3 linked regions of the Struthio camelus genome follow. The protein of the gene in region 2 interacts with the protein of the main gene of each other region in a pairwise test. Links are inferred from orthologs where the notes say so. Each region holds a gene or a part of one and is shown on either strand. Other genes may lie near its edges.

Region 1 (10,082 bases), on a different chromosome or scaffold from region 2:
ATCTTCCTACAGAGGCTTTGCTTTCTAAACGCCACTAAAACACTACCAGATGACTGCCTTGTTCATTTTTGTCTCGACTTTCCTAATACCAACCAATCTAGTTTCAATTTCAGTACTTAATTACTCGTGAACTGACAGAACTTACTGGATACTAATAAAAAAAATTACAAAGTACTACACTACCAAAAGGAAATTCAGGAATTCCTTTTAGTTTAAATGTTCATTCCAGGACAAGAAGAGCTGAGGAAAAGACACGTACGGTACAGATGTTTAAAGGGAAAGACTTATTGCTCAAATTCCTGTTCCTTCCTCCTTGCCTAGCTTTCAATATCTCCGTCTCTCTCTGTCGAATTTATTCTTGGTATGAACACAAACTGCGATACAGCTTATGTGAAAAAGTTGTATATCGTAAGGACATTTGCAGTCAACGTTTGGTAGATGTAAAAAGCACTATTGTCATGAAACCTGAGCACAGCCTCCACAGAAAGAGGCTTTCGGGATCAATCCCAAAGGGCACCAATCTAAGGGATGCTCTGTTGTCAAGACTTCTTCACTAAGGAGAGCTATGAAGACACCTTATGGAGTTATGTAAAAGAAATTACAGGGCACTGCATGGAACAATTTACTAAAGAAAATACGTATCTTCAGCTCTGTCTGATGGGAAAACTGAAGGAGTAAGAGTGACACGGCACTCCAAATATTTGAAGCTAATGGGAGGTGCACGTGCTCAGCACCACAGGTTGGGGAAAAGGTCTAAATGATCTGTTTGCAACCCGTCATGAGTCAGTGCCCAAACCAGAAATGGAATCTGCGCGTCCCAAAAGACAGCCCTTAATCAAAGCTTACATATTCAAAGCGATCCTTGCAGAGCTGAACCATGAGGTGAAGAAACACAAGTCCTGAGAACCAGAGGCACCACATGACCACTTCTTCCACTGTCTGAACATTCAGCACGCCAAAAATAAAGATGAACTTGTAGAAAATGAAATTCCAGAATTTATCCTTGAGATGCTGAAAAGGAAGACACTTGGTTACTGTAGTGAAAGCACCGACAACTCACATGCATAAAACTGCCTGCTCATAGCAGATAATACGCAGGGGAGAAAGGGAGGGAGAGAAAATGATGGGAATAGCAACATGAAAATATGTTAACAAAGGACAGTTGCATACCCACCCAGAATAGTATTTGTTAACCTTACAGAATCTCAAACCATATTAGAAATATTAGAAGCCCTTAGTATCTACTCAGTCTTTGGTGCCACTGCAGCAAAATAGTGCCACATAGCGCACAGCGTGCTTTCCTGCCATATTTCTAAAATGGTGCTTAGCACAAAGGAGGTCTGATCTTGATTAGATTTTCCATGCCCAAGCAGCGGGCCTGTTGGGCCACAAACATCAAGTTTTCTCTGCTGGATTGATTAGATGAACGGCCACGCTTAGTTAGAGCGGGTGCCCACCTGACGTGGCACCTCACTTCCAAAAAAACTGTCCAAAAATACACACTAACTACTTTTCACATCAAGTGCAGAGATGATTAAGAAAAGGTGACGAAGTCTGCTCTTAAAAAGCACAATGCAAACAGCGACGAACGAGATGGATGAGCAATAAAAAATTAATTATTCCCACGCACACACAGTATGAAAGAAACAGTATGATGGTCTCAAATAGCAAATAAAAAAGACGTTGGAGATGGAAAAATTTTATAAAATGGAATGTTTTGTTCAAGAACAGGATGAAGAACATGACCAGTAGGGTAGTTAAGACAGGTGCAAAATTCCTGCAGGATGTTTTAAAAATCTTCTCACCTAGCCTAAGACCAGAACCAAACAATCTGAGTTTTCAGTCCTTTCACCTCACCTTCCCTTGGGTACCTACATGCCAACCCCTTTTACACCTGAGGACAGACAGACCATCTATTCAATGTCTGAAGATAGAAAGTACGCACACTCCTCTGGCAGTCAAGGCACAAGACAACTTGCAAGAGTGAACTCAACCTGCCAGTGCAGACAACTAACTAACTATGAAATGCAGAGGAAAAGCTGTCAAATGCAAGCTTAACAGAGAAGAATACACACACACATATATATACACACATACACATATATAGATATAGAGTGAGAGAGAGAGAGAGAGAAATATTCCGAAATGAGGTGCCCTTTTAAGAAATCTGACAACGTTTATTAAGGAAATAGGATTTTCAAGTTGACCATGGGCTTGTAAAAAACAACAGCAACAATTAAAATGAAAAATTCCACTCAGAAATAAACTGCAAGCTTGTGGCTCTGGATACGAGCTAAGTAATACTTGCGTGACAAACTGATGGGTTTCTCGGGTGGATTTTCTCCTCTGCGGTTTTAGTGGATAGCGTTTTCCAGAGGAAGAACTCCAAATGGTAAGATTTAAGCTTACACTGTTTTAAAACTTATATTTATTGTATAACTTTCAGGAAGTTCATTATAGAAAACTACACCAGTCATCCACCGAGAAATTACGCTACGTGAAAGCAACACGGATATCCAAGGCAATGCGTTTGCCCATCTTACCTGCCTCTCACTAACACGAAGGGGACCAAACACCATATACTGGATCAGTTTGGCGACCAACATCAGAAAACAGCAGGCAGTGTTCACTAGTACCTGAAAAGAAACAAAGCAGTCAGCAGCAAATACTTCAGCTCTGCTCAAAAAGGGAGAGGGACGGGGAAAGCCGGAGTCTAGCAGAACCACCCGTTGCTCACGGAAGAGGGGTTTTTGCTTGTTTGCGTTATTGTTTTTTCCTTTTAAAAGTGAAGTTTCTGCGTGGCCTCTTCCAAGACACGTGTTGTAGCTGATAACTCACTTGACTTTCTTTCTAGGAACACTAACGTGATCAGTTTGATACGTCAGTATACCCCACAAACAAATCTACCTCTTCACGATAAACTGATAAAAATTAGCACGTTTAACACTAAGGAACGCGGAGCCGAAGACTTATAGATCACCAACACACAGGAGATCAGAAAACTCCAGTTCAAACCTGTTAAGCGTTACAAGAAGAAGATTCAGAAATTGTCTCTAAATATACTCAATAACGCGTATACTTTCTGTAACTACACTGCTTAAATCCTTGGATCACAGCCGTGGGCAACTGTTTTAAACCAAAGCAGCAAGAAGCAGAACACACGGGCCTGGGAAAATCGTTTCTCCTACTGGACGACGATACTTTTGACCCATACAGAACACCAAAAGCGGGAGGAAAAAAGCGACGAGGCCGCCTCATCCTCTCGCTCTTAAAGGCCACGCAACCAACTTTTTCTAGGGCTTTCAATTAAGCTCCTAAGCCCAAGTTTCAAAACGGACTCAACAGGCTTAATACCTTAAGCACATCCAAAATCAAAGCCCCAGTCAAGGCGGTAGGCTGTAAAGCAGACGCCTAACAAGGCGAAGTTAAACAGTGACAGCCCAGCTAGGTTTTTCGGTAGCCCCTTTTTGAGCCTTTATGTCACTAGACACGATACGGAAAGGAGTGCAGGAAGATTTCTCGCTTTATATCTATACCATTGTCAGGCTCGGGTTTCAAGAGCTGCGCACATTTTTTCCTTCCCCCCCTTTTTTTTTTTGTTTGTTTAGATGGTGAGAACGATTCGTATCACCTGCATGACTTCACCTTCTTCTTTTTTTTTTTCTCCTCTTTTTAAACTAAAAAAGGCAACGCTTCGGAGCCGGGGTTGACTACGCGCCTCTCTCGCAGCCCCACGCTCAGCGCCGAGCCCGCCGCCGCGGCCCCCGGGCAGCTACGTCTTTTTTCCAGCGACCCAACCGCTCAGGGAGCGTTTCCCAAACAACGACAAAAAAAAAAACCCTGTTCAAAGCCGGGACTGAGGCTCCCGAGCAGCTTCGGAACCAGCTTAACGGCCCTGCGGGCCTCACCCGGCGCCGGGCGGGCCCGACCCGGCCCGCTGCAGGCCGGACCTCGAAGCTGCGGGCCGCCCCAGCGCGGCGGCCCCGGCCGGGGGGGGCGGCGAGGCGGGACGCGGCGGCCCCGCCGCTCCACCGCGCTCCGGCCGGGCCCGGCCGCCCCCGCCACCAGGCTGCTCCGCGGCGGCTCCCCGCACCCGCCGCGGGCAGGGCCCGGCCCCCCCCCCGCCGCCGCCGCCGCCCGGAGCGCAGCGCAGCGCAGCGCAGGGGAGGAGAGGGGAGGGATCGCGGCCCCCCGCCCGCCGCCGCCCCCGGTCTCACCCAGACGCAGAGGCTGTCCGAGAGCAGGTAGTAGGCGACGTCGAGGGCCAGGGCCCCGGCGCGGCGCGGCGGCTCCGCTCGCCCGCCGCCCTCCGCCTCGGCGCCGCCGGGGGCCTGGCTAAGGGCGCGGTAGGCGCTGAGGCCGCAGCCCAGCAGCGCCAGGGCGCTCAGCGCCGTGTAGGTGCGCAGGCTGGGCCAGGGGAAGCGCTCCAGGAAGAGCAGCGGCATGGCGGAGCCCCCTGCGCCGCCCGCCCGGCCCCGACCCGGGCCGCGGCCTCCCGCTTCGCTCCGCGCTTCCCCTCCGCTCCTGCGGCCTAACGCCCGCCCCGCCGCCTCCCTCCCTCCCCCCCCGCCAGCGGCGCCGCCCCTCGCCGGGCCGGGCCGGGCCGCCCCCGCGCCGGCTCTCGCCCTGGCGACCCGCCGGGGCCGCGCGGCGCTGAGTCACGCTCGGCCGCGGTCGGGCTGCCCCCCCCCGCCAGCGCGTACTCTGCCCCGGTGCCCGGCGGCGCCTCTCCCGGGCAGCCGGGCGGAACGGGAAACTTAAGTCCTTGCCAGTCGTTTGGCAAAAGGCTGGAGGCTACAGGCCTGCGGAAGCGACGCCTAGCCCTACTTATTACCTGCGACAGGAGGACGAGAGCAAGCCCAAGTAGCGTAATCCCTTGCAAGAGGGCACAATACACGTGTGTGCTGCAGAAGGACAGTAGCATATGGGGACCCCTGCATACTCCCCAAAAGTTCAGTCCTAGAGCTTTCTCCTCAGAAAAATTAGAAAGTTAATTTTACTCTCAGATTTTATCCAAATGTCAGAGCAGTCGAACAGAAGGTAGTGGAGGGTTTTTTTTCCCTTCCTCCTTCAGGGGAAGGGGAAGTTGCACGTTATTTCATTCAAGCCCTGTACAAACAGGGAAGTTCCAGATCAGTGCTGATGAGCTTTGAACAGCAGCCACACCTGCCTTTAAGTATTCATACTCTCTCAAAACAGCAATTCAGGTCCTCTAACTTTTAGCAAAGACACTCAACATGATATTGCACAGACTTATACTTTTCAGACTCCCTGTCAGACTAATTCTCTACTCAAGGATGCGGGTCAGAGAGCATCTCAGTGCTCCCAAGAACAGGTTAGGTCCTCCTGTTTCCCCAAGATCTCCTGATTTCCTGAAGGAAAGTAATAAAGTCTAAAATATGTTCTTAAAAGGGGGAGACAAGTAAAAAGGACAAACAGAATCTGATCCATTTTGTTTAATGTTGTACAAAAAAAATTTGGTGAGTATTACAATGAAAAGTGATTAAAACACTGATATCACACTGCCATCCCACTATCTAAACAGTTGAGATTCACTTCTCTATTCATACAATAGAAAGTTTAGTGGCCTTCAGGAAAAGAACGACATAAAAAAATCCTTGCGTCACACGTATTCTTTTCTCTACATTTTTAAAGCTGTGCTCACAGAGACGGCTTCTTCTATCACACTCCTCAGGTATATGGGAATTCAGTTGTAAATAAAGTTGAACCTAAAATTAAAAGGATTATACCAAGTGAGAGACTTAATTCCTTTCATTTAAGGAACACTTTTGAATTAATAAGCAAATGTTTTGTTTCTGTTCTTAATAAGCCTCCTTCTGACAGAGGGGGGGGGAAAAAAAAAACCTTTTAATAGGACAGCTTTGGTATAACCAGGAAGCATTATCTGTAACAACAGATGCTAGGCTAGCATCGTACATCAGCCTCTTAGGAGAGGACATACTTAGTTCTTCCTGCACCTTTTAGCAAGCTTCACAGATACGAAAATACCAGTGCAAGTTTTGCACCCTGTACACAACTCTTTCGCAGCATTTCTATGACCAGCACCATCCCGATACACTCCAGGAGTAACAGATGGACATACTCAACAGAAGAGTCATTCTTGTAAACTAAATTTCACAGCAGACAGAAGAGCACTGTACAAATATTCCTGATAAGCTATACTGTGAAAATAAGCATCCATCTCAACTTGCAGATGTCCTTCCTTTCAATGTCTGTTGCAGAGGTACCAAATTGGCATTAGGATGAGTAATGGCCAGCGTTTTGCTAGTACTCTTGAGAAAGCTTCTGCTGTCTTTACATGGAGCCGGGGCAAAAGCTTCTATAGCAGTTGTTGCCAAAATTGAGTATAGACAGAGGACAAATATACACAGCATGCAAACTTATTATAGGTGATATCAATTCCAACATTCTGCTAATAGAGAATAGATGGATGACGTAACTCCTTCCCCTGAGTAACAACTGACAGGCTGTAGCACGTCTGGAACTCCTGAACATTTGCTGAAGTAACAGAAATTCGTAAGACTAGTTAGCTCTGGACACCTGAGGTACAAGCCGTTTTCAAATAAGTGGAAAGAATGCGCTTGCTAGGAAAAGGGAGGAAAGAATACAGCTGTCCCTACAGGTATCTGTGTTATAAGTGCACTTTAACTACATAGAGTCTGGAGGGGAAAAAAAACAAAAAACAAAAACACATTTAATCACCACAGAAAGCAGTGATAACATGAATGCCTAACTCAATGCTTCAAACATGAGTCTGTTTTTATTCTCACACTATCTGCAATACTCAAAAAGTTCCTTAGTACATGCAGAGCTTCGTCTTCACTATCTTTCAGATTTTCCTTTCATTAAACTACCAGGTAAGACTCTGGTGCTAGTAAGTTGAAATCACTGTCTCTAAACTGTCAACACCATCTACCTATTCCTCATGTCCCACAGCTTTCCCACCTCACATTTTTATAAATCCATCATGTCCAAGCTCTTCAGGGCAGCGACAATCATTTTGTTTCTGTATTGCCCCACTTTGCTATGGTGTCACAGCTCTCAGGAACTGTAATACAAGGTATAATATACCTGCTCAGAAGTTGAGGAAGGCTGGAAATTATGGGTCCATATCCTGGTGCGTTGTCATAGAGCTCAAACAACGGCGCGGCTACTAGCTTATAATTTTTGGGGACTGCAAACAAAGCTAAGAACAAGTACAAGTTAATTAATATTAAATGAAAGAACACCAAGCATTCAGCCAAGATGTTGCTCCCCACTCCCAGCCAAACACAAGATCACCGCATATAGCACTATAGTACTAGAATGGCTTTATTTCATTTATAGTTGGACATGGGGCTCATGTGCTGTACACGTACTGACATAGGAGCAGTAATGGGAATATACTAGAAACTCATGTTCAGAAAAGCTCATGTACCTTCATAATTGACCCCAGCACTTACGTTTTTTAAGGCTTCTTCACAGTTATATGCTTGCTCATTAAAAACTGCAAGCGAGTTTTACTGAATCTTGGTACCACATTTCCTTGCATGAAATGAAAGTATTTATAGAGTTTTATAAATGCAACTCCCTGTTGCAAACACTTACCCTTTTCTTGAAGCTGGACCAAGAAAAGCTTTTTGTGCTCTTTTGGTTTTGTAATATGAGCTGGGATATAGGGATACTGAAAGAAAAAACAAATTTACTTGTACATATCTTTGAAAATATTGTGCGCTCTTAAGTGCTGCTCTATAATTAAGAGACTCGGAAGAGCACTGTGGAAGCTTCCAGCAGGTTATCATATATTCTTCTTTCATGGTATGAGACAATGAAAAATACTTTTATAAGGATGTATGCAGAAAAGAACGCTGGTTGGCCTCATGACCGTTTACAGGATCTAAAAAGAGATGCCAGTACTCGTAACCCGTTAAAACAACCCAACAAGACAGAAACACATGGCAGCAAACTGAGCAAGTATTTTCAATATTAAAGCATTTAGAAATAAGGCAATGAGATTATTTTGTTTACACGGCATCTGTTTCAGATGTACCAGTGCATGAGTTTCCATCATGGATCAAACAGGAGTTTAGATGGTGTGTCCAGCTCAGCACAGGACCAGAAACCACCGCATCCAGTGGTTACTTATCTATTGGGAGGCGCACAAGGAGGGAAAAACGGTTTCCCAAAGAAAAAGTTTGTAGGTTGGATCCTTCCTCCTCAGCCAGAGGAAAGGAGGAGACAGGTGAAACCCAGCAGGACCAACTGCTCATGCAGCAGGTATGCGCTCACAACTGGCAAGTTGAGGCTTCTGTAAGAACAGTCAGTATTTGCCTCTAAAGAACATAAGTGCAGACCCAGGTACTCACCTGTGGAGGTTCAAAGTTTGGTCTCCACCAGTTACCAATGCAGTCATCAATTACCCAGTCTTGCTGAACACCATCTTGGCGCCCCAGTATCTATCAAAAACCCAGGTACAGTCAAAACTCTAAACAACCCATGCCATTTTCTTAGAAAACACACAGCGGAAGCACAAAGAGATGCTGTAATAAGGGTCTGATGCAGTTCAGAGCCAGGCTGGAACAGCTTTTATTAGAATGTCAGAAGATTACTTCTGTATAAAGTGACACAGGACAAGGACATTTTAGAAAGCATTTCAAATTTTGTGTTATATTCAGTTGAACTGAGTGCCCTAAGTCCAATAGGAAGAATGAAGTGCAATGTTTCAGTGACAGCACCAGTAAGTACCTTTACGAACAATCACAAAAGAGTAAAACTGATAGAAACGGTAAGACAATTACTGCAACGCTTTGGCTTGTTAACTCTAGAATAATTCAGCATTCCATAACATTCCAGTATAGCCAACATAAGGAAAGAAAACTGACCTCTGTCATTAAGCGTTTGAGCCCTTCTACCTCATCTTCCCCTGGATTGAGTTCACCACCAGGTCTGTTAAAATAATCAGCCATATTATTGCTGATAACCAATGATGAAAGCTAAAGTTATGCTTTATTATATTTATAGGCATTCACAGGTATGTTTGGATGTTCTTCCAGGTAGGGAATTACAAATTCATTCAGGGCCCTTCAGCCTTAAGTTCCAAATCTTATTTTTCCAAGCTTGAAGACAGAGTAACACTGCTTTTACCAAAACTGTGACTGAAATAACTACTGCATGTCCTTCTAGAAAAGGAACTAAAAGTGCTATATACATGGTAATAACTGAGATGCTTAAGAGGTGAAGTTTTAACAATGACAGAAAAGCACCAGAACAGAGTTGAAGAAAAGGTTGTAGATATTGACTGCATTTGGCCTAATCTCAAGAATAACACGCATTGAAGCAGAAAATAAAACTCTTCTGGAGAACCATTTAATGTAAGGTTAATGCAAAAAACCTAGGAGGACTCTTCAATACCTATTTTCAAAAAAACTTTCAGACTCTAGTCTATTTTTGTCCCCTCCCTCACCCTCCAAATAAGATGTCAAAAAAAGAAAGCGGATACAGATTCCCCACCAGCACACACTAAAGAACAAACAACGTGCTAAAAATATAAGACAGAACACAAGCAGGATAACCTGAGACAAGTCAAGCCCATACAGTTAAAACTAAAACAAAATCAAGCACCAACTTCATCACTACAAACATACGATCCAACCCCGAAAGTTTCATTCCTGCAGTGACAAGTATTAGACCTTCCTAATTGTACCCAGCTCACTTGGTAGTTTGCAAACAGCTATCATTTTGCGTTTACCCCAGCTTCCTGCCTTAAGCTTCACCTTGCTATTTTTCTGCCCACAGCATAAGTATATTTAAACATAACACAGCTTTCGCAATGCAGGGATAAAGCACAAAGTTCTGATAACGAGTTTTAAATAGGAACCCTCTATTGTGACACAGCATAAGACTCCCAGTTGGTTCAAAGCTACGTGAGCACAGACAAAAATACTTTTTACGAGAAAACCTCACCATTCAAAATATTTTTAGGCTTTGTAACAAGTGAATCAAACATTCAAAACCTCTGACAGAGCTAGTCACACTTTAACCTCTAATCTACCCACTTAGTGCTTTGCGACTTTAAAGTCGCA
Region 2 (10,849 bases):
CGTTCCTTGCAAACCTGAATTCTCAATGGACATATTTGAATGCAAACATGTCTATGGAAACAGTTTTAAAGGTGTACTTTAATACCAGAATAACTTCTGCTCTCTTCATTTGAATTAGGCACATGAGGTTTGTACAAGAAGATATTCAAATCTGATTAAATACAGAGCTAATGTAATTAATGACATTAAAAGCTTTAGTAAAGAGTGCAGAATGTTAGCCCTCACCTCATGTTTGATTAGGACTTTATTTTTGCCCTTGAAAACTGCCTGCTATATGGGCCACCATCAAAACACCTGTACACATCAAAATAAAACAGACTAAGTTTTTTCCAACAACAAAATTTAACTTTTCCTGCAAAATATCTGTCTAAAAAGGTACTTAACAAAATAAACAATCATACGCTAGATTTGAATGTAGAATTTATGTTACAGTTCGAGACCGTTCAGAACTTTAGCACAAAACACAAGCCACTAGCAATACAGACGCTTCCCACAAATTTCATCCCAATCTTTTTAGCCAATGGGTAAGGGGATAGGGAAAATGTATACAAGCTACTGAAATCTCAATAAAAACTGCTTTAAATTATGCTCTGAGTACATTTTTATGTTATGTTACCTAGAGCTTTAATGTTTAAGATTAGAAGTGTTACACGAAATTTTCTTAAGCAAATACATTCTATCTACGCAGTCTATGCACCACTCACAATCTTCCAGAATACTACTGTTTTTCATGAAGAAGTTGCACAAGCTTAGCCTTTTTTTCCTGTAAATAATCTTTAAAAAATGCTTTTCCATCAAGTTCTTTGTTAAAAGAAATAGTATTTGATTAAAATCCTGCAAATCATATTTAAATCAACCTAGTGATAGAACTAGCCAACACTTTCCAACCACTGTGTTGTCTAAAACAAAATACAAGATCTCACCAACACTAGTTTCTATTTTTCTGAATAGTCAGAGAAAACTACAATTAAAAAAATGTTACTGCAGATGAAGTTCATTATAAATTGAAATTCTGCACGTTCTGCTCAAACACCCAAGCTTTACAAGTCATTATGCATCAAGTGAACTACAGTAGCTGTTGAGGTGGATGTTCATTGCTATTATCAAAAGGAGGTAATTTGATACAGTTTAAAAACTTTCCTTGTAGCCTGACAGAATAGGCTGATCAAGCATTCGAGCTCTAAGTTAATCAAAGAAATGTCAGTGGGTCTGTAAAAGAATATCATCAACCTAGGGCACATACAACACTGTACAAAATGAGAGCACTTTAAAAAGTGATCTAAAATTTACATATCAACTTATCATTTTAATGAGAAAAATCAGTATGTTGTATATTGTCATACCACATATAGCTACCAAAACATTTAGCTATCCTGCTTAACCACAGATTTCAGGGTGCTTAAGAATCAGTATCAGCAAATGCCCTGGAAAAAGTTGCCCAACAAAAATACTAGATAACTAGCATTTGCCCACTCAGCCTACCTAACACTTAACATTTTTAGGATTCAAACTTCAAGATTCGAATTATGATATTTATTATCCTCAAGTCTTGGACCAGACTAATACCAAAGGTTATGTACACGTCACTTTTTTCAAATTAGTGCTGTTAACTCTCACATTTTAAACTAAACTTTAAAGTCATTGATTTTTTTAAACAAAGGTTGACCCCCAGTAAAATAATACAGTGGGTGATGTTAGTGTGATGTCAACCAATTTAATTGTAATAATCCTCTCTATTCTTCAAATCTTTTCTTGATGTCGGTTTCATTAACTCTCCAGATACAGGCTCAATTTTTAAATTTTTTTTTAAATAAAAATATCTCTTCAAGATATCAGACTAGCTATTTTTAGTTTAAGAAGTTTAAGTAAACTAGTTTTAAAAAAACTCTACAAATTCATACTTCCAATTTTATTGCTCATCTTTAGGATAAAGGGAAGAAAAATTCTGTCAGGTTATACGATTGGTAAGATTAAAAAACCTCCATAATTTTCCTTCAATCTCTCATCACAACATCACAAAATATCATTAAAAAAACCCACAGAAATCTTGCAGATAGCATTTCTAAAATGAAGGAATTACAATACTGGACTTACCACTGCCATATTTTCAGGAAAAGAGTACCACCTCAACATATCACTGTCATCGTCCTTTCAGACAGCATTCACGTATTTTAAGCAACCTTACTTAATTTGTAATCACCATTTCTCTTTTACAAAGTGAGCAGCAGGAACAACGGTGAGGCAAGCTGTACAAGGTCATTTAATAGGCCAGAGATAGCAACGCAGCACAGGTTTACAGAGTCCCAGGGAATGTATCCTTAAAGTTTCCAAATTATCATTTCCCTAGGGTTTTTACACAGTTCTAAACAAGACTCTGCTTAATGAACTATTGCTTCTATTTTGCAGCCTTGCTTGTAAGAGCTTGAACATTCAAAAAAAAAAAATTACAAAATACATTTGCCAGATAGAGCTGATAGACTAATCTGTCTTTGGTTTATCTTATTTAAACTGCTACTAAATCAAGAACTTGCGGTACAGTATGTTCATGTTCTGATCCCATTTCAGTAACTCAAAAAGACATACAATGCTTTTTTATTCTTCCAAACCTCATCAGCAAAATCTTTACCCAATAAGAGTCAATGTTCTGACATTTTACTTCTCATTATCACTGGAAATCCAGGCTAGTCAGGACAAATTTATCTAATTTGATTTAGTTTGTACACTCTTTCTGCACTGTCCCATTTAGTAGTAACAGAAAAAAGTAACCTACACTGGACCACAATGAAAATAAAAAGGAGGAAAAAAAAAAGTAGCAGCAGCTTGAGGAGTAAAACGGAAGTAGTAGATCATCTGGATCTAAATACAACATCAAACATTTTATAATTTAGCAAGAAAAATATTACAGGTGAAATAAGAACAGGGGCATAGCCACAAAACCAGGTAATCTTTTGTCCTGCCCGTGTCCTAGGCATGTCACGGAACAAATCACCACCCGTTCAGAATAGCACACAGTGAAAGTGATCCATTCTTTCAGATCAATTTCTACAGCTACTATTTTAAAACTCCTTCGGAGAAGGTATAAATAAATAATTCAAGTGGAAATACCTGTCAAGCAGCAGGATGTTTCTTGCTACCGCACCTACAGCAACCCCATCCAACCAAGCCAAACTGGACGTTATCTGTCCATCAGACTGAAACCACACTACGAGCTTATTTTAGAGAGAAAGACAGAACGAACCTCACAGGCAGCACCTGCACACTGCTTAGGATAAAACTGGTCTGTCGCAACCACCCTGTGCTTGAGCAGAATTAACAGGGCCGTAACCTCAGAAACTCTCGGAAGGTGGCCACATCCTTCAACACCGTCCTCACGACGGCCCCGGCGAGGCCACCCCGCCGCGCTGGTCGACCACGCCGCCGCAAAGGGGGAGCCCGCCACCTCCCCAGGAGCCAACAACGCCTCGGCGCCCTCAAACCCCGCCCGGGCCACGGCTCTCTTCGCTCTTCCCCCGCCACCAACCCCCCCCCCCCCCCCACCGCTCCCCGGAGGGCTGCATCGCGGCCGGACCTCTCCTGGGGCCAAGCCGCCCTCGGGGCCGGCAGCCGCTCCGTCCTTCCCCTACAGGATCTCTGCCCTTCCCGCCTCCTCCCCCGCCGGGCCGGCCTGCCCCGCCCGCCCGCCCGCCCTCCCTCACTCCCTGCTCCCTCCTCCCTTCCCTTCCCCTCGCCACAGCCGGGGCCGGCCTCGCCCCTCACAGCCTCCCCCTGCGGCTCCCAGCTCCATCCCGCCGCCGGCAACGAGCTCTACCCTACTTCCCTCACGGCCCCGGCCCCGCCGAGCGGCAGGCGGCGCCCCCGGCCCCGAGCCCGCCTCAGGGCCTCGCCGCAACGGACCCCCAACCGCTGCCCCAACGGGGGCTCCCCTCGCCCCGACGGCCCCGCTCCCCCCACCCTCAAGTGGCTCCTCCCGCCCTCAGGGCGCCGCTGCCCAGGCCCTGCCGGCGCTGGCCACCCCCCCCCCGCCTGCCCGGCTCCGCCGCAAGCTCCTCACCTGCATAGACGCCATGATGGATCCACCCCCCGCCCCTCTGCGCCGCCGGCCCAGACCCACAGAGACGCAGCGCCGCGCGCCCGTCTCCTCCCCGCCCTCGCCGGTCACGTGGGAAGCGCTGCCCTCGGCCCGGCCGCGCATGCGCCGGGGGCGGGGAGGGCTGGCGGCGGCGGCGGCACTCTCGTCATGGGGTTCGCCCCCGCGGGCTGGCCTCGCCCGCTGCCGAGCGGAGCGGGTTTCCTCCGAGGGGAAGCTTTTGGGGGGGGCAGCCCTAGAGCGTCAGCCCGGACCATTCCTGAGCACGCTGTGGGAAGGAGTCGTGAAAAACCGGCCCCATCGCCCCCTGCCGCGTCAGGCGGGGGGGGGGAGGGGCGGCCGTTGGGGGCCGCGCGCGGGGGGGAGGGGCGGCCGTTGGGAGCCGCGTGAGGCGGGAAGGCCGGGCGGGTGGCCTCGGCCTCGGCGCCGCCGCCGCCCTGACACCCGGCAGCGCCGGCGAGGCATGGCTGTGCCTCCTCACTCCTTTCTTTAGCGAGGACCAAGTGGTTGCCGTATTTTTCCGGGTTTGGAGGGATTCGCCAGCTCCAAAAAGGCAAACGGTTCTCCCTGCTGATGGACGTGGTTGCCGTGCTGGAGTTAGAACTGCTGTGCGAGCGGTGGCCTACATATTTTTAAAGGTTTTTTAGAACTGCACATCCACAGTCCTTAAGGGATTTAGTTAATGCCAGCTGTTCCCTTTTATGGGTTTCTGCAAGTTCGTCTCATATTTGATTTGTCATTTCGGGAAAGGAGGATTAGAGATCCACAGCAGGCAGTGCTAGGGTCTGCATTTTGGACTAAGTACCCTGGGTTTATTAGCTGGCTTGCTGCAGGAAAACGTCTGGCTATAATTTGTGGTGATGGAAATTGTCCTGATGAGGAGGGAGAAGTTTCTCTTTGTCTCCCATGCTGCACCATCAGAGTTCTTCAGATAATCTCTGATTTGGACTTTTTTCTGCACCTGTGGCCTCGGTGCCTGAATTACAGAGCATGAATATATTGTAAGTGGGAGAATTTTTTTGGATCCTACATTTTCATTTCCTGGATTGGAATATTTTCTGTCCTTTGCACCAAACACTCTTGTGGTAACTTACCAGGTGAAAATAAACAAGCAGCACTTGCAGGAATTAACTTACATGCAATCAGTGAATTAAGCACCTTGAAGAAACACTTTTCACAAAAGCTATTCCAGCTGTATTTCAGACCTACCTGATCCTCCAAGGGAACCAACAAAATATTTTTCCAAAGACAAACCTATAAAACCCACAGTCCTAGTGGATACCTAAAACCAACAACTTAATAAAGATAATGGTTTTATGGCTCATTATAATCTCCATGTCCCCACTAATGTCTCTCTATGTGCCAAGGGAAGTAAACTACCTATCTTTCTGTCTTCCTTGGCAATAGGAAGGGTGTTTCACCCTTCTCACCTTTCCAACTCTCATCCTTTCTACTCCACAGGTAGCACCTACTTTTTTTTTCAGAGATGGCCAAACTGAAGTTTTGAACAGTTGTTCTCAATTTGTATTTAGCTTTGAAGTCTGCTGTTTCAGTTTTAGACCTAAAGAAGGCTTGTGCATCTTGCCTACTTTCTATAATCACTTTATTTGGTATGATACAAGGTATTACTTCTACATGCAGGCTTTACCTTCCTGTATGCTCCATACATATGCCCAGCTTTGAAAACTGCTAACTGGAGAAAAACAAAAACCCAACACGCAATGTCACGTCAGATTCAAACTTGCATCCAGATTCAGCAAAGTTGCAATAGTTAAACTGAGTGTACAAACCTCTGTGGTTTGCTTAAAGGGAACAACAGAAGGCAACAGGAATATCATTCCTCAGTGGGCTAGCTGCAGAAGGGATTGAACCTGCTGCTGTTGCAGGAATTTGCTGATGACAAAATTGTGAGTGTGTGTAGATTTTAGAGTATGAAAGGAGATTAGCCTACCAAAAGTAAGGATAGAAAAAGCATTGCAGTGCATCCAGGAAGCTAAATCCTTTACTTTTTGTCCTGTGAATTCAATCTAACCTAGCCTCAATTCTGAGTTTTCATTAGCTCAGTCACAAACCTATAGGCTCCTTGAGCACTGTAAACAAGCATTGCTCTACTGACTTCAATTAAGTGACACTTAAGTCACAAGAGTCTTCCATCTGTTTTTCCTGGAAGTCAATGTTTATGTGCTGTATTACGTCTTGACACAACTTGAGTTGTGAAAGATTTATTGTGTTAAAGAGACGTTTAGAACTAGTGAAAATTTTTCGCGCAGTCCTTCAGAACTAACTTAGGCAGTTACAATATTAGGTGCAACATTGTTATTACTATTTTACTAGATGTTGTTGTTTTACATGATTGAGACATATGTTTATCCTAAAATACATTTCTTAATGCCATATGCCACACAGACAGCAAGAACATCAAGTTTAGGCAGTGGACATGTGTTCAGCTATAAACAGGGACATATTGACTGTTCGTGTTGATGTAATCACAGTGGGATAAAACTGATTTGAATCCATTATATTCAGTTTCTTAACCTGTTACAGGAAACCCTCTCTAAGGTCAGAATATACAACAAGGCATAAGTGTATGAATGCCCCTATGTTTGATAGATTGCAAAGTGGTTTTGCTCTTGTGCGTTTACCAGATACAGTAAATGAAAAGATCAGCTTTGTAGTCTTAAGGATAACTGTAATCAATACAAATATGACGTCCACTCTGTAGTAAAGAAAAAATTCTGTAGACAAAACGCTGCTTTAGCAAAAACACATTGCTTGTTACTGTTCTTTTCTTTGGGAATTCTTTTTCTGGTCACACTTTCAATCTGAAAAACAGGCACCTGCAACACTTTGGACTAAAATAACATTTACTGAGATAACCTCATCCACACTGCAAATCCCATTCCTGAGAACAGCAGACATGTAAAGCAAGGAATAGAATCTGCCCTTCACATAAACTATAAGACATAAATGGATTACTACCTACCATGTCCTAGCTGGATGTGTAAGAAGCTGAGCTGTGTTACTGTGCAGCTGCAGTCTGTGACCAGAGTCCCCTTATCCCTAACTTCAGTTTGAGCAGTTAATTCTTACAGGACTACCAGAGATTTCTTCTATTAATGTTTTCATCTGTTGTTTTCTCATGTGTCATGCAATCACCTAATATAGGTGTGCAACATTTTTAGCTCCTCTTGTTGTTTTTTGGAATAGGAAAGCTGGAGAATTATCCTTGGGTTTTATTGTTGTTTTCTCCTTCCCCATGTCTCATATCAGTAACCTTGGTTGCAGAGTCTCCTTTTTTTAGTAAGTGTTTGTACAGTCCCTAATGCGATAGGGGTTCAATCCCTTAAGCACAATAGTAAAACGTATACAATTAACAGACTTCTGGAAAGAATTTGTATGAACATTTTCTTCTTTAAATTCATTTCAATTCGTGATTTTGTGATGGCTCATACTGTTCTTTGCTCTAAGTAATTTAACCAGGGAAAAACCCAAACTCCCAGAGAGCATAGATTTCAGAAAGAGTAGGTTTTATAGTAGTTTGCTGTTCATTTCAGTGCTGACCTCTACCTATACTTTTATAATTAACCCTTATCAATCTGTTGCAGGTGTAAAGATAGCCAACACAATAATTGACAGCTTTTCTTTTATTAAAGAAAGCTTTAATATTTGGCCCATACACTCTGACCCTGCACCAGTCAACCCAAGTTTTGCCAGAGACTTCAAAGATTGGAATCCTAGGCCCAAACATTCAAAACTTTAGAGGTAAAATGAATTTCATCTATCTTCATTATTTCAGGAGCTATCTTGTATTGGTCTGATCAAATACACTTTTATGCCTTGCATATCTAATACATATAGTGCAAATCATGAGGACTGAGCCATACCTCCTACTAAAAATGTTTCTGTAAATATTCATGCACTTGACTTGGAAATTCACTTTTTTCCATAGGTTGCATTACCTTAAGTTTACAGAAAAAATTAAAAATGCAATGTTCAAAGTGCATTTATTAGATTATCTTCTGATGTGTCTAGCCAGTTTCACAAAGGCCAAATATGTCTCCCTGTTTGGGTCCTTATAATTTTGTATTCCATTTCTTCCATTATCTGTAAGGTTTTCACAAACATTGCCGAACTGTTTTTTCCTCTGCTGTCCCTTTAATCCTCTGTCATTTTTCTGTATACTGAGTTGTCTGTCACTGCCTGCTTCTCTGCAATTTCTGCAGCTATAACATTGAAGAGAGACAGAGAAAGAGAGAAAGAGATCTTCTGAGTCTACTGCACTTGTCTAGCTTTACATCTTGTCTCCTTCTCACACCGAACTTAACTGTACATTCATGTTAATCTCCCTGTGTTACTCCAGTGACATAGCAAGCATACTCTGCAGCACCAGGAGACCACATCTCATGAGTGAGGAGGAGGACCACATTCCTCCCAGAGCAATTGGGCCAACTTCTCCTTCCACTGCTGTTTGCCAGTTTGACGGAGGGCATTAAACTACAAGTCTCTGAAACAAATCTTCTGAAAAACACAAACTTGACTCACCTGCAGAAAACACTATCTGCATCTTACCAGTAAAAGCTTTAGAATCAAACCAAGACAATAGATATTATTTACAAGTTTCAAGTAATTTACTAGAAATAATTCTCAACTTAAATGGAGTGTTGCTTCTGAAAAGCATTATACGTCAATTTAATATGATAATACAGAACATTTTTTTCCCAGTGTAAGAAGATAAATGAAATCCTTTATGCCAAATACAAATAGATCCTAGATAATGTTTAGGCTTGGTGATGCCAAACAAAACTGAGAACTATTTATGTGAGAGATAATTAACTTACCTGACAAATATTCCATTGTTTTACTAGTCAGAGTAGCAAGAATTTATAGTGACCCAAGACATGAATTATTTATTATTTATGGCTTTCTGTGGTGGTGATTTTAAAAATAAAGGGGTTCTATTATTACATGCAAATACAATATCAGTAGTATTGGGGGGGGGGAGGCCTTCGTTATGAATTCTCACCTGAAAAGCAGTTTTAAATTTGAATTAATATTGAAAGAATTCACAGTATTTATGTTTTTAATTTCAGAGTATCTTCTGGTTGAACTATCACTAATTTTCAACTGGATAGAAATAGGCAACAAATAAATAAGGTCCAGCATTAATCTATGCATATATTCCCCCCAAATTATCTCAGAGCATGATTCTGAAAATCAGTCACTTTATCATTATCAGTGATAATCAATGAGATTTTAAGTTGTCTAAAAATGGTCAAGTTGTTACTTTCTCCAACCTAAAAGGCAATACATATTTCAGGGGCAATTTTAAGTTAATTTTCAAATTCTACTCTCAACAACCGAGGCTACAAAACTGATTATATGATTAAGGTCTTGAAAACTGTCTAAATGTGTTAAGTTCAATAGGATAAAAAACTGAAGTATTCCATTTGTCAAAAAATAATCTCGATCTTAAATCTTTGATTTTCCTCCCACATAGTGTGGGAGGAAAATCCTATATTCTGTACACATAAAACAGCAACATGGCAATGATAGAGGGACATGTTTTTTTTTTTTTTTAATCTCAGTGACCTTTCTCCCATATAGGACAGATTGCACCATAGCCTACATTTGTAGATGTAACATACTCAAAGCTTTATTTCATGACACAGAACACTAGTTAAAATAAGGTTTAAAATATATTTATTGAATTGATAAAAAGTCACTTTTCCTTTCTCTGTGCTACCCTAGTGATGACACTGAAACAAACTTCATAGGTGAATAATAATGACAAAAGCTACTGTGTGCTCTTTTCTGGCTTTTTCAATCTCATGCAACACATCTAGTTCACAGTATTGCTATGTTCCCACACAGTTACCACCTCCTAAGCTACCTTTAGAAAGAAATCCAACTCCAATGCAGTTTGTTTGTCCAAAAAAAAAAAAAAAAAGAAAAGAAACTTTAAATTTGATCTTTTTCCATGAGAAAAACCAGACACCTTTTTTTTGCTAATTGCAGAGCTTTGGCCTACCTAGCTTTAAAGAGCAGCATAATAGTTTCATTTCCAAATTCAGTCCCTCTTAAAATAAAATAAAGAGCTGCTGCTGTTTTCCTCCCATTCAGTTGTTGAAATCAAATTTACACCACAGCCTCCACCACTAGTTTCCAGCTAGAAAAAATATTTTTCTCCTTAGTACCCACACAGTAACATTGTGCTTTTGTTGACTCTGCAGTAGCTGTTGCTTTGCTGCAATCAGGATATCATATTTGAGATTTAAAAGCAAACAAACAAACAAAAAATAGCACCTTTATGTTGAGGCACAAAACACAGAGTGAAAAAGTTAACTTCCCTGTCCCATTAAATACAGGGTTTTGGGGTCCAATCTATCTATTATATAAAACCACAGACTTAGGTGTTGGGAAACTCCTTTCAGTAACAGTAAAAACAAGGAAGGGGCGCAAACAGCCACTGCTGCAGATTATGACTATGAAGTATGAAATATACTGATAGAACGCAGACATAAGCAACTCATTTTTCCACATGTACTAGCCATTAATCATAAATGCCTTTTAAGCAATGTCCAACACAGCTGTTGAGTACAATGACCTGATAAATCTTGATGAAACAGTCTTTTTTGCAGCTCAAGAACAAAAAGGAATTTCCTGTCTTGTAGAACAGAATTCTGCTTTTTTTTTTTTTTTAAATAGACCATTTTATAAGGCCCTCAAAGACTTCTTTAGCAACCTATAATCAAGCTATGACAA
Region 3 (9,854 bases), on a different chromosome or scaffold from region 2:
CTTGCACGGCGTATCCACAACCACCTCCTCTCACTGCAGGTCAGCAAGGCAAGGGCTGGGAGCCGCAAGCCGCGGGAGCGCCTTCGGCCCTGGCCGCAGCGAGGAGCCTCGGATGCAGCATCTTCAAACGCTAATTCACCTCCTGGGTGGCAGGTGCCCTCCCGCACAGCAGCCTGGCTCTGGGCTGTCCCTCATCACTGCCTACGGCAGCACTTTTCGGGGGCGCAGGCACCCCTCAAGCAAGTACCCATGCGTTTGCAGGTCACGTCGATCCTCCAGCTCCGACCCCTTGTGAGGAAGTGACTGGCTTCCTCCGCAGCAGGGCCACCCAGAGCGCAGGGCCGAGCAGAGGCGAGACCCTGTCTCCCCAGAGAAAACCGCTCCCAAGAACAAGGCAGCAGGCAGTTTTTGGGAAAGGAGACTTTAATCTGCTCAGTATCTAGTCCATAGTGCAAAGAGTTAACCTTAAGGCAAAGCTTTCTCTCTTTGTTTATAAACAGCAAACAAACAGGCCCTAAAAAGACAAGCGTGACTGCTACAATAGAAAGGGGGCTTGAGGGGAGAAACTGCAGTCCTGGGAAGGTGTCCTTCCTTCCCTGAAAAAGCACCTGGGGAACCCTGCGCCCCAGCACCCATGAGCTGTCCCCAACCAAACACTTCTGCCCGCAGGCAGGAGCACGGCCAGCAGCCCCACTCCCAGGTGCCTCCAAAGGCGCGCGGTGGGGAGGGTCCAGCTGCCCCGCTCCTCTTGAGCGAGGACCCCCGCAGGAGCCCAGGGCAGGGAACCAGCCCCTGCAGTGCCCTCCCCAGAGCAGCGCCGCTTTCATCATATCTTGTCCTTGCCACAGCTTAGGTTTGCAGCGAAAAGGCGTCTCCCGGCATGGCCTGGCCTTGCTGCCGCCTCCACTTGGACTTAGATCACTTATCAATTATTAGTTAACAGGAGCAGTGAGGAAACCACGCCAGCTGCCTGCAGGCTCTTGGCTTGTGATCGAGGCGTTGAGGCTCTTCCCGATTTAAGTGCTCCAGCCAAAATTGGCTCTGGAGCACGGCTGACCCCGGGCAAGCAGCTGGAAAAGGGAGAGCTTTTTAATGCAAGGCCCTCTTGGAGTCCAGCAATTTCTTGGAATGGTGCTGGTTGACCAAGCTGGGACAAGCCGTCTCAGCTCTCCCCAGCCAGCAGCCGATAGTATGGTTTGACTTCCGGGGACACTTTTAAATAAAATTAGTTGCATTTCACATTTCAGACAGGCAGTAAGACAGAACAGCAGAGGAACCTTGCTGTAATCAAATACAGCTGGGGTCCCAGTACTGCTGCACGTACACAACTGTGGATCCACAGCGCAGCCGTGCAGCACTCGTACCAGGAACTGGAATGTCTCAGTGGGCTCCCAGGAGGATTGGGGGTGTCCCCTCTCCTCCCAGATGGTCGCTCGCTCTAGCCCGCCCAGCCTGGCACGCAGCAAGCTTTGTTATGAACCACCCAGCTCCTTGGCAATCCAAGTCCGGAGGCCGGGCTCTAAAATCTGTATTATCTAGGGAGGATTCTCCAGCATTAGCTCACACACGCGCTGCTGCTACCGAGGTTAGGGCAGGGCTGTGCGAACGCGGGCCACCTCCCGGGCTCTCCAAGCAGCACCACTGCCTCTGCAGAGAGAGTAACCCCCCCACCCCCTGGCCCACATGTGAGTAACCTGGTATGTGCTCATTATTCTTGCATAGGTGACACATGGAAGCAGCAGCAACACTGAGCTCTGCAGCTGGCCAGCCTGCAGGGAGCCCGCGTTCTCTGCGGCTCCTCACTATCCCAGCAAGGGGAAGAGGAAGATCAAAACCAAAAGCCACAGTGGCTGGGATACCCAAGTATTGCTGTGGCCCCAGAAATCCTGCTGTTCTCCAGCTGGGAGCCAAACTCAGCCCTTTGGTAGCAAAGCCTAAAAACTGGAGGGTGCTCATGGCTTGCCTAGGGCCTCCCAAAAGGGGCACATTGCTCCCTTCCCTGGGAGTTGGTTTGGTGGGAGGGGGAAGGACAGGTATGAATGGAGTCTGCCAGGTAGTTTTCAGGCAGCTGCTGGCCAAATCTTGGCAGCAAAGCCCTCCTTTGCTTTGCGCTAGCCCTTGTGATTCCCAGGAGGTCATGAAGCTTTCCACCAGCTTTGGCTAGGAGGGACCAGAGCATCTTTCTGAGCTCTGCTTTGGATTTCAAACTGCTGTAAGCTCAAGGCAACAGGCCCTGAAACAGCAAATGTCAACAGAAAAAGATAACTCTTTTGGCCTGCTGCAGAGATCAGCTATTGTGCTTGCTAGCGACAGCTACAGGCTAGTTACAATTACAAGTGTGGCTGACAGACACCCCCAACAGCCTCTTCCCCTTTCAGCATCATCCTTAGCTCTTTGGAAAACTCGAGGCAGCACTGGGAAGAGTGATTCTGCTTCCAGGCGAGAGGCAGCAACAGGGATGGTCCTTGACCTTCTGGAAAAACAGCCCAAGCTACTCGCTCCTGGGTTCACAAGTACACATTGAGCGTCTGCAGGATCATCTGGCGACACAGCGGGCAGTTGCGCTGGTAGATGGCCTGCTGGAGGAGGACTTCTGTGCACTCCTGACATAGGCACAGGTGCCTGCAAGGCAGGAGCAGGACTGTCTTGGTTTGGTCTTGACAGATGACACATTTCTTACGTTCCTCTTGTTCCTTCAGGAGCATCCAGGGGTCATCGTCCAGAGCAGCCTCACCATCCCCAGCTGCTGCGTTCAGCTGCTCTCTCCTTGGAGCTTTCCCCCAGGAGGTGCTCGGTTCTTCCCTGGGTGCCTGGAGACGCTGTCCTGTAACAGTGCTTCGACTCAGAGCCGGGCGCGCATGTGGTACCTGCTCCACGTCTGGCTGGTCCTCGTGCTCCCCACCTGCCAGCTGGCCGCCCCCTGCCAGCACCCCCCTGCCAGGAGCTGCTGGTCTTGAGGCAGGCATGGCTGCCCCTCGCTGATTGCTCGCCTGGTTCATCGTTCTGCCTCCTCTGCTCCAGTTGGCCACCTGGAGACTCCAGTCCAGCAACCTGCGCCAGGCCTGAGAGGTCATGACCATGCCCAGCGTCAGGAGCGCCACCTGATAGAGCCGCCACGCATCCCTCTGCAGGCGGTGGTAGGATGGCAGCGTGTTCAAGTACCCAAGCACATGGCCTGCCAGCATCCACAGCAGCCCGGGGTTGAAGACAAAAGTGCTGACGACAATAATAAGGATGAGCAAGACCAGGCCATAGATATTCACAAAGAAGACGTTGATCAAGAGCTTGGTGATGGAGGCCAGGATCTCGAAGGCCAGCTGGCAAGGCGACCACAGCAGAATGGACACGGCGATGGCGCTGCTGGAGACATGCGCGAGGAAAGCGGCCAGGAGGTCGGTGACTCTCAGGAAGGGGCTGACGATTGAATCCCACAGGGCCACCAGCAAGGTGAAGAGGTTCTGCATGCCGATGAGGCACATGTTGATGATGCTGTTAACGAAGTACGCGAGCAGGCTCATGCCAATGGCCAGGCCCTCGCACACCTGCCTCACCAAGGTCTGGCCAGAGCCGAGCAGGTTGCAGAGCCCGCGGTGGAGCAACTCCTTGCTCCGCAGCGCCAGATGAGAGAGGAGGTGCCCCACCACCTTGAGCCCCTCCAGGCTGGAGCAGCAGCTGCGCAGCAGGCCGGCAAGGCCGTGCACGACACCCAGCGCCAGGTAGCACGCCGCCTCGGCCAGGGACGCCAAGCAGAGGAGCAGTCCGTTCCAGCAGGCGAGCGCGCTAGCCGCCGCGGTGCCGGGGAGGTTGTAGACCAAGGCGACCAGCCACAGCAACGCCGACACCAGCGAGGACACCAGGAAGAAGTTCACGTCCAGCACGAAGCCCAGGAGGTCCAGAGCCAGCCGCAGGCCGCGGAGCAGCAGGAACACCAGGTCCATGGTGGGGCTGGGCGGGCGACCCGGGAGCACGTGGACGGGCGCACGGGGCCAGAGGGGGGCTGCAGAGGAGCCAGGAGGTGGGGGGGAGGGGGCTTTGGGGCAAGGGGAGCCCGGGATGGGGGCAGGTGGGCCTAACGGTCCTAGGGGAAGGGGATGGATAGAGGGGACCCGAGGGTCGGGGGGGGGGCGGGGAGCCGGGGAAGGGCTGTAACAGTCAGGGGGGCCCCGGGGCAGCCAGGGGGGCCCGATCCCGAGGCTCGGGTGCGGGGGGGGCCTGGGGCAGCCAGGGGGTCCCAGGCCCCGAGGTTACCGGGGTAAGGGGATTAGGGGACGCAGGGGAAGGGCTGTAACGGTCGGGGGGGCCCCGGGGCAGCGAGGGGGTCCCAGGCCCCGGGGGGCAGGGGGGTTGGGGGACCCCGGGGAAGGGCTGTAACGGTCGGGGGGGGAGGCCCGGGGCAGCGAGGGGGGCCCGGGCCCGAGGCTCGGGGCGGGGCGGGGAAGGGCTGTAACGGCCGGGGGGGAGGCCGAGGCTACCGAGACGAGCAGGGGAAGGCGGCGGGGAGCAGGGGGGCGCCGGTCGCGGCGGCCCCCCCGGTGCTGGGGCGGGCGCCCCTCAGCCGCGGCCCGCACCGCACCCCCTGCCGCTGGGCGCCGCCATCTTGCCGCGGGCGGTGGCGCGCCGCCGGCCAATGAGCGGCGGCGGACGCTTCTTCCCGCCTCCCATTGGGCGGTTCGGAGGACGCGGCGGCGGGGCGGGGGGGGGGGGGGGGGGGGGAAGTGGGCGCGGGGGCGTGGCTTCTGTCCGCCGCTCCCCCAGAGCCGCCTCCGGTTGGCTGGTGCTGCCGGGCCAGGCCCCGCCCACGGCGGGGTGGATTTAAAGGGCCCGCGGTGGGGCTGTTGGGGGGTGGCGGCGGCTCATGGGGGTCACACGTGTGGTGAGTGTGCAACGGTCTCAGCCCGGGCGCTGAGAAGGTTCATGCTCACTAGTGCGGACAGCTGGGGCAGAATGTGTCTGGGACAGGGATGGGTCACGTGCGGCCTTTGTGTCCCCTGTGCTGCCTGGTGCTGGCTCTGTCCCCAGTCCCTGCACTGGGAGTAGGCACGGCCCAGGGTCAGGCTGGGGCAGTACCGCTCTCGCTGCAGCCAACCGATTTCCTACCCAAGGCCCCAAAATAAACCTGGGGCTATTACCTGGCCCAAGGTTATGGTGAGGGGCCTAGTTTGCTTTGCAGGTCAAAGTTCCCGACGCAACAGCCCTGAGCAGCTCCCGCCGTCCCTGCCAGCTCCCGGGCGGGGTGCTGGGCTGCCAACATCTCGCACCTCCTCCCCTCCGCTGTGCCCCCCGGGAGACAGTCCAGCGCCGCCGCCCTGATGGTGACGACAAGCCCAGGAAAATCCAGCCCTGGAGCCCAGGCTTTTTAAGGAAGGGGAGAGCGAGCACAGGGAATGATCCATGGGAAAGACATCCGCACCCTCAGGAGCTCGTCACCAGGGAGCAGAGCGCGGCGCCGCCGGGCAGCAAGGGAGGAGCCCTGGGGGACCAGGACGCCTGCCCGGCGGCAGGCCCAGAGCAGCCGCCCTCCCTTTCCCTCGCGTTTTTTCACCCCCTCTAATTCCCTGAGCTGGGGCAAGAGCCAGGGGCAAGAGGGGCCGTGTCCCAGCACCTCGCGCCGGCTGATGCTCCCGGGTACCGCCCAGCCCTCGAGCGTGCGTGTGTGTGCGTGTGCATGTGTGTGTGTGTGCACTCCCCGCCGGGAGTCTGTCCCGCCGGCCGGATCCCCTCCATCCTCCTTCCCCTCCCTCCCGGGCTCACTGGGTTTCGGCTGTGTGCTCCCTCCCCGGCCCGGTGCCTGGACCCCCCCGGCGGTGTGTGTGCGCGCCGGTACCCACGTGACGGGGGCCAAGATGCTTTGAGCATTTATGGTAATGTTTGGATTTCTTATTACTTAAAAAAAAAAAAAAAAAAGGGCAGAGCCCAGCGGCTGCGCGCGCTTCATTCATTCCTTCCCCGCGGCCGCGGGGAGGGGCCGTTCGGGCCCCTGCGGCTGCTTCCCCCCTCCCAGCGCCCCTGCCCCGCTCCCGGCACCGTCCCTGGCACCCCGGGCCCATGCCCCAGGAGCCTCCCCCCGCAGGGGCACGGAGACGGGAGCGAGGAGTGCAGGTTTGGGAGGTCGCAGCTCCCCGGCGGCGCTTTTCCTTCGCTGCTGCAGGGGCCGGGGTGGCGGAGGGGCACGTGTGCCCCCTCTCTGCTTGCCCCAGCCTCGCCTCGGCCGCCGGCTCCTGGCTCAGCCCCTGCCCCGCTGCAGCCCTGCAGGGTGGGCATAGTGTCCCTGCAGGGTGGGCATAGTGTCCCCACAGGGCAGGTGCTGTGTCCCTGCAGGGTGGGTGTGATGTCCTTGCATGGCGCCTGCCATGTCCCTGCAAGGTGGGTGCAATGTCCCCGCAGGGCAGGTGCAGTGTCCCTGCAGGGCAGGTGCTGTGTCCCTGCAGGGTGGGTGCAATGTCCTTGCATGGCGGGTGCTGTGTCCCTGCAGGGTGGGTGCCGTGTCCCTGCAGGGTGGGCACAGCGTGCGGCAGCAGCAGGATGCTGGGGGCAGCGGTGGTCTCCTGACGGCGTTTCCGGGTCCCTGCTGGCACGGCGGCTCTGACCGATGGCCGGGGCGCAGGGCCCCCCCGGGGCTCGCCTGGGACCTTGCGCGGGGCAGGCGGAGCTGGCAGAGCTGCGGCAGAGAGGCCAGGGCTCGGCCGTCCCCGCGGAGGCAGGCGAGGGCGGCTTGCAGACCCCCGGCGGGAACTGCTCCGTGCTGGCGGGCCGCGCTTCACCTCCGCAGAGCCCCTGCGGGACGGAGGTCCCTGCCTGGGTGGCTCAGGCAGCTGGGCGGTGGCCAGGAGGGTCCCGGCCAGCTGTCCCCGCACTTGCCGGAGGTCCGGGCGCGATGCCACCCCGCCGCCAGCTGTGCCCGCGGCAGCTGCGGCAGCAGGGCAGGGCGCCCCGCGCCGGCCCCGCTCGTCGGCCTCGCTGCCCCTCGTCGGGGCCCTCGGTGCTCCTTTGGGACCCCGCGGGGCACTGCGGGAAAGTGGGGCCAACCAGGTGGGCTGAGCGACCGCCGCCGGAGCCCGTGCCGTGCCGGCGGGGCACGCCGGGCAGGTCCCGCCGGAGCCCCCGTGGGGCGGCGGGGGAACGGGGGAAAGGAGGCAGAGACAGGGCTGGCAGCGAGGCGCGCAGGCTGCGGAGGGGGTGCTGGTGGGGGAACGGCGCTGGGGGCAGCCAGGGCTCCCTCCGGGCCAGGGGATGTGCAGGCTCTGCTGGCCTCCCCCTGCTCCACCCGGGGCCAGCTTCCCCCGTTGGCACGTCCCAGAGGCAGGAAGGGCGTTTCTGGGCTGCGGGTCCAGCTGGCACCGTGCCGTCGCTCCCAGCCAGGCACCTGGGACCATCCCCGAAGATGCCCTGGCGCGCCCACGCCGGGCCACGCGCACGGCCCGGCCGCCCTGGTGCTGTGGGAGAAGGCAGCCAGCACCGGCTTCCTGACCCCGGCCAGCAGCCTTACTCCGGGTCCCTCCAAGATGCCCTCGCCGCCGGGCAGGCAGATGTCCTGGCGCGACCGCGGGTGCAGGCAGACCCTGCGCTTGCAAGCCAGGCGCAAACAATAGGTCGTTCCGGCGTATCCGCTCCAGGAAAGTCCCCGTCCCCCGGCTCACCTGGCCCGGCTCCAAGGCAGCAAGGTTCTTCCTCTGGCCTTCGCCTCGCTCTGAAGACGCAGGTGATCACCCTCGCCGACGCACACGCTCCCGCCAGCGCCGAAAGGGCAGCCAGCGCCCTGGCCGGCGCGGCCTCGCCTCGCCTCGGGCCCTCGCGGTGGGGCAGAGCCCCAAGGACGCCTCGGGAGCCGCAGGACAGATCGCCCGTCCCCAGGAAGAGGCACCTTTCCTGCCGTCCCTGCCTTTGTTCTGCCTGCAAACCTGTGGGAAAGCTCGAGCACGAGGGCTGCCCACCTTGCTTCTGGCGGGCTGCGCGGCTCCCCGCGACGGGAGCTGGGATGTTCGTCTCCTCCTGGAGCCCAGCCAGGCGGCCCTGGGAAAAGCAAGTCCTCTTCCATGGGAAAGTCCTGCACAGAGAAATCCCTGCTCGGCCCGGCGGGCCCCTCCGCTCCCCTGGGCCCGGGTGATCCGGTGCGTCCCTCTGCCTGGGGCTCATCTCTCGTTACCCTTCCTTGCGGTTGCCCTTAATGAGCCGTCCGGGGGGAGCACCCCCCAACGCTGCAGGCAGCACCAGCACCAAGGCGACCCTGGAGGGTGACACCGGGCCCCGACGCTGGCTCTCCCCGGCGGCGGGCAGCTCAGCCAGCCCTGGGGCAGCCGGCAGCCAGCCGGGGAAGCCAGGGGACTGGGCCGGGCAGCCTCGCCGGGGATGGCCCAAAGCCCCGGTCCCTGTCCCTCCCGCCTGGGGAGCCCCAGGGGATGAGGAGGGGAGCAGTGCTGAGCGGGGGGAGAGCCCAGGCGTCCTGCCCCCAGCGGGGGACCCTGGCTGGCCTGCCCCTGCACTGATGCTTGTGCGGAGAAAGGAGGCGCAGGGGCGAGCGGCCGCAGGCGAGGCCGATGAGCAGGAATCCCCGTTTTGGGGGCGGTGGTTCGTAGGGCTGGTCCTCAGCCGGGCAACGTGGTGCTCCGCTTATTGGCAGAGCCAGCCCGCGCCGCCCCGCCGGGAGCCGGGGGATTAGCAGCGGGCAATGAATGAGCCCGCCTGGACCCCTGGCCTCGGCGGCGTGCGGCGGGAGTGCGGCGCGGGTGCCGGGGATGCTGGAGGCAGCTGCTCCTCCTGGGCATCCCTGCTGCCGGACCCCCCGCTGGCCGGGCACATAATCCGCCCTATTGTGCCGGCGAGTGCCCGGCCCCAGCCCATCTGGCGCCAAGACAATGGGGCCTTTTTCCGGCCAGCACGAGGGGGGAGATGAACTCAGAAGTCTTCCGAAGGAAAAGGCTGGGTTAAAAATAGCTGTCCCCGGGCTCCCAGCTACCCAGCCGCCCTTTTCACACCCTACCGCCAGCCCCACAGCCTTCCCCTTGCACCAGGAGCGCAGGGGATTAGGGGCTGGGAGTGGAGCCCCAGGCATATATGTGACCGTCCTGCTCTGGCTGTACGTGTGCGCGAGCGAGTGTGCAGTACGTGGCTGTTTGCACGCTGCAGCGGGGCTGCACCTGCTCTGAGCCGTGGGGAGGCCATGTCTTGGGGACGCCGAGGGACAGGGCCAGCCCTGGGCGGGGGGCTCCTTCCCTCAAGCCTTGGTGGTGGCCGTCTGCCGGCTAAGGTTTCCCCCGGGAGCGCTCCTCCAGCTGTCCTTGTCCGTCCGTCCTGCGCATAGCGAGGGTCGGGCCTCCCCGGGGCAGGGAGCGAGCAGTGCCCGGGAAGGCGCCACAGCCTCCCTTTCGTCCTTACGCTGCTCTCAGCAAAGCCGGGCCCAAACCGTGTCGTTCACACCGCGCGAGCCAGCCCTTGCAGGGCAGCTGGAGACCCGGGACACCTGCGTCCTTTTCCTGCCCGCTGCACCCACCCGCGGGGCGGACCACCAGGGCAGCATTCTGCATGGCGCGAGCCTGGGTAACCCCCGGGTCTCTCTATCACCGGCCGGGCCCCTCTTTTTGGGGCTTTGCCACGGGTCTGCATCCGCTGAGCCCCCCACACAGCTGCCCGTGGAGATTGCGCTCCTCCAGCGCAGAAATCCAGATGTCACCTTCCTTCCCCCCTTCCGCTCACGTCCTTCCTTCCTCCGCCTGCCCAGCCCCTCGCCCGCGGCTCCGCTCCTAAACAAAGGCCCCCGTAGCCATGGTTAATAATCCCCAAATAAAGGCTGTGCAGAAGAGGAAGGGAAGGAGAGGGGAGACACAACTAAGGCACCGGGAGCCTGGCCGAGGAAGGGA

The links.
Region 1: the proteins of UBE2W (region 2) and AMFR interact in a two-hybrid assay, tested with the Homo sapiens proteins (2 studies listed by BioGRID and IntAct). The link is inferred for Struthio camelus from reciprocal best matches to the Homo sapiens genes UBE2W and AMFR.
Region 3: the proteins of UBE2W (region 2) and RNF26 interact in a two-hybrid assay, tested with the Homo sapiens proteins (2 studies listed by BioGRID and IntAct). The link is inferred for Struthio camelus from reciprocal best matches to the Homo sapiens genes UBE2W and RNF26.

Annotation. Positions count from the first base shown.
Region 1 is NC_090951.1:21,994,089-22,004,170, forward strand, and holds the start of AMFR (E3 ubiquitin-protein ligase AMFR), read right to left. Parts: upstream 4,541-10,082; 5' UTR 4,446-4,540; coding exon 4,218-4,445; intron 3,653-4,217; exon of another isoform or gene 3,638-3,652; coding exon of another isoform or gene 3,632-3,637; intron 2,637-3,631; coding exon 2,544-2,636; intron 1,012-2,543; coding exon 847-1,011; intron 1-846. Other genes in the region: NUDT21 (cleavage and polyadenylation specificity factor subunit 5), read right to left, coding at 5,708-5,729, 7,093-7,207, 7,609-7,684, 8,367-8,456, 8,883-8,946. UniProt on the Homo sapiens protein: E3 ubiquitin-protein ligase that mediates the polyubiquitination of lysine and cysteine residues on target proteins, such as CD3D, CYP3A4, CFTR, INSIG1, SOAT2/ACAT2 and APOB for proteasomal degradation.
Region 2 is NC_090943.1:129,383,665-129,394,513, reverse strand, and holds the start of UBE2W (ubiquitin-conjugating enzyme E2 W), read right to left. Parts: upstream 4,152-10,849; 5' UTR 4,067-4,151; coding exon 4,052-4,066; intron 3,665-4,051; exon of another isoform or gene 3,569-3,664; intron 3,187-3,568; exon of another isoform or gene 3,106-3,186; intron 1-3,105. UniProt on the Homo sapiens protein: Accepts ubiquitin from the E1 complex and catalyzes its covalent attachment to other proteins.
Region 3 is NC_090963.1:3,185,262-3,195,115, reverse strand, and holds RNF26 (E3 ubiquitin-protein ligase RNF26), read right to left. Parts: upstream 4,541-9,854; 5' UTR 3,939-4,540; coding exon 2,508-3,938; 3' UTR 416-2,507; downstream 1-415. UniProt on the Homo sapiens protein: E3 ubiquitin-protein ligase that plays a key role in endosome organization by retaining vesicles in the perinuclear cloud.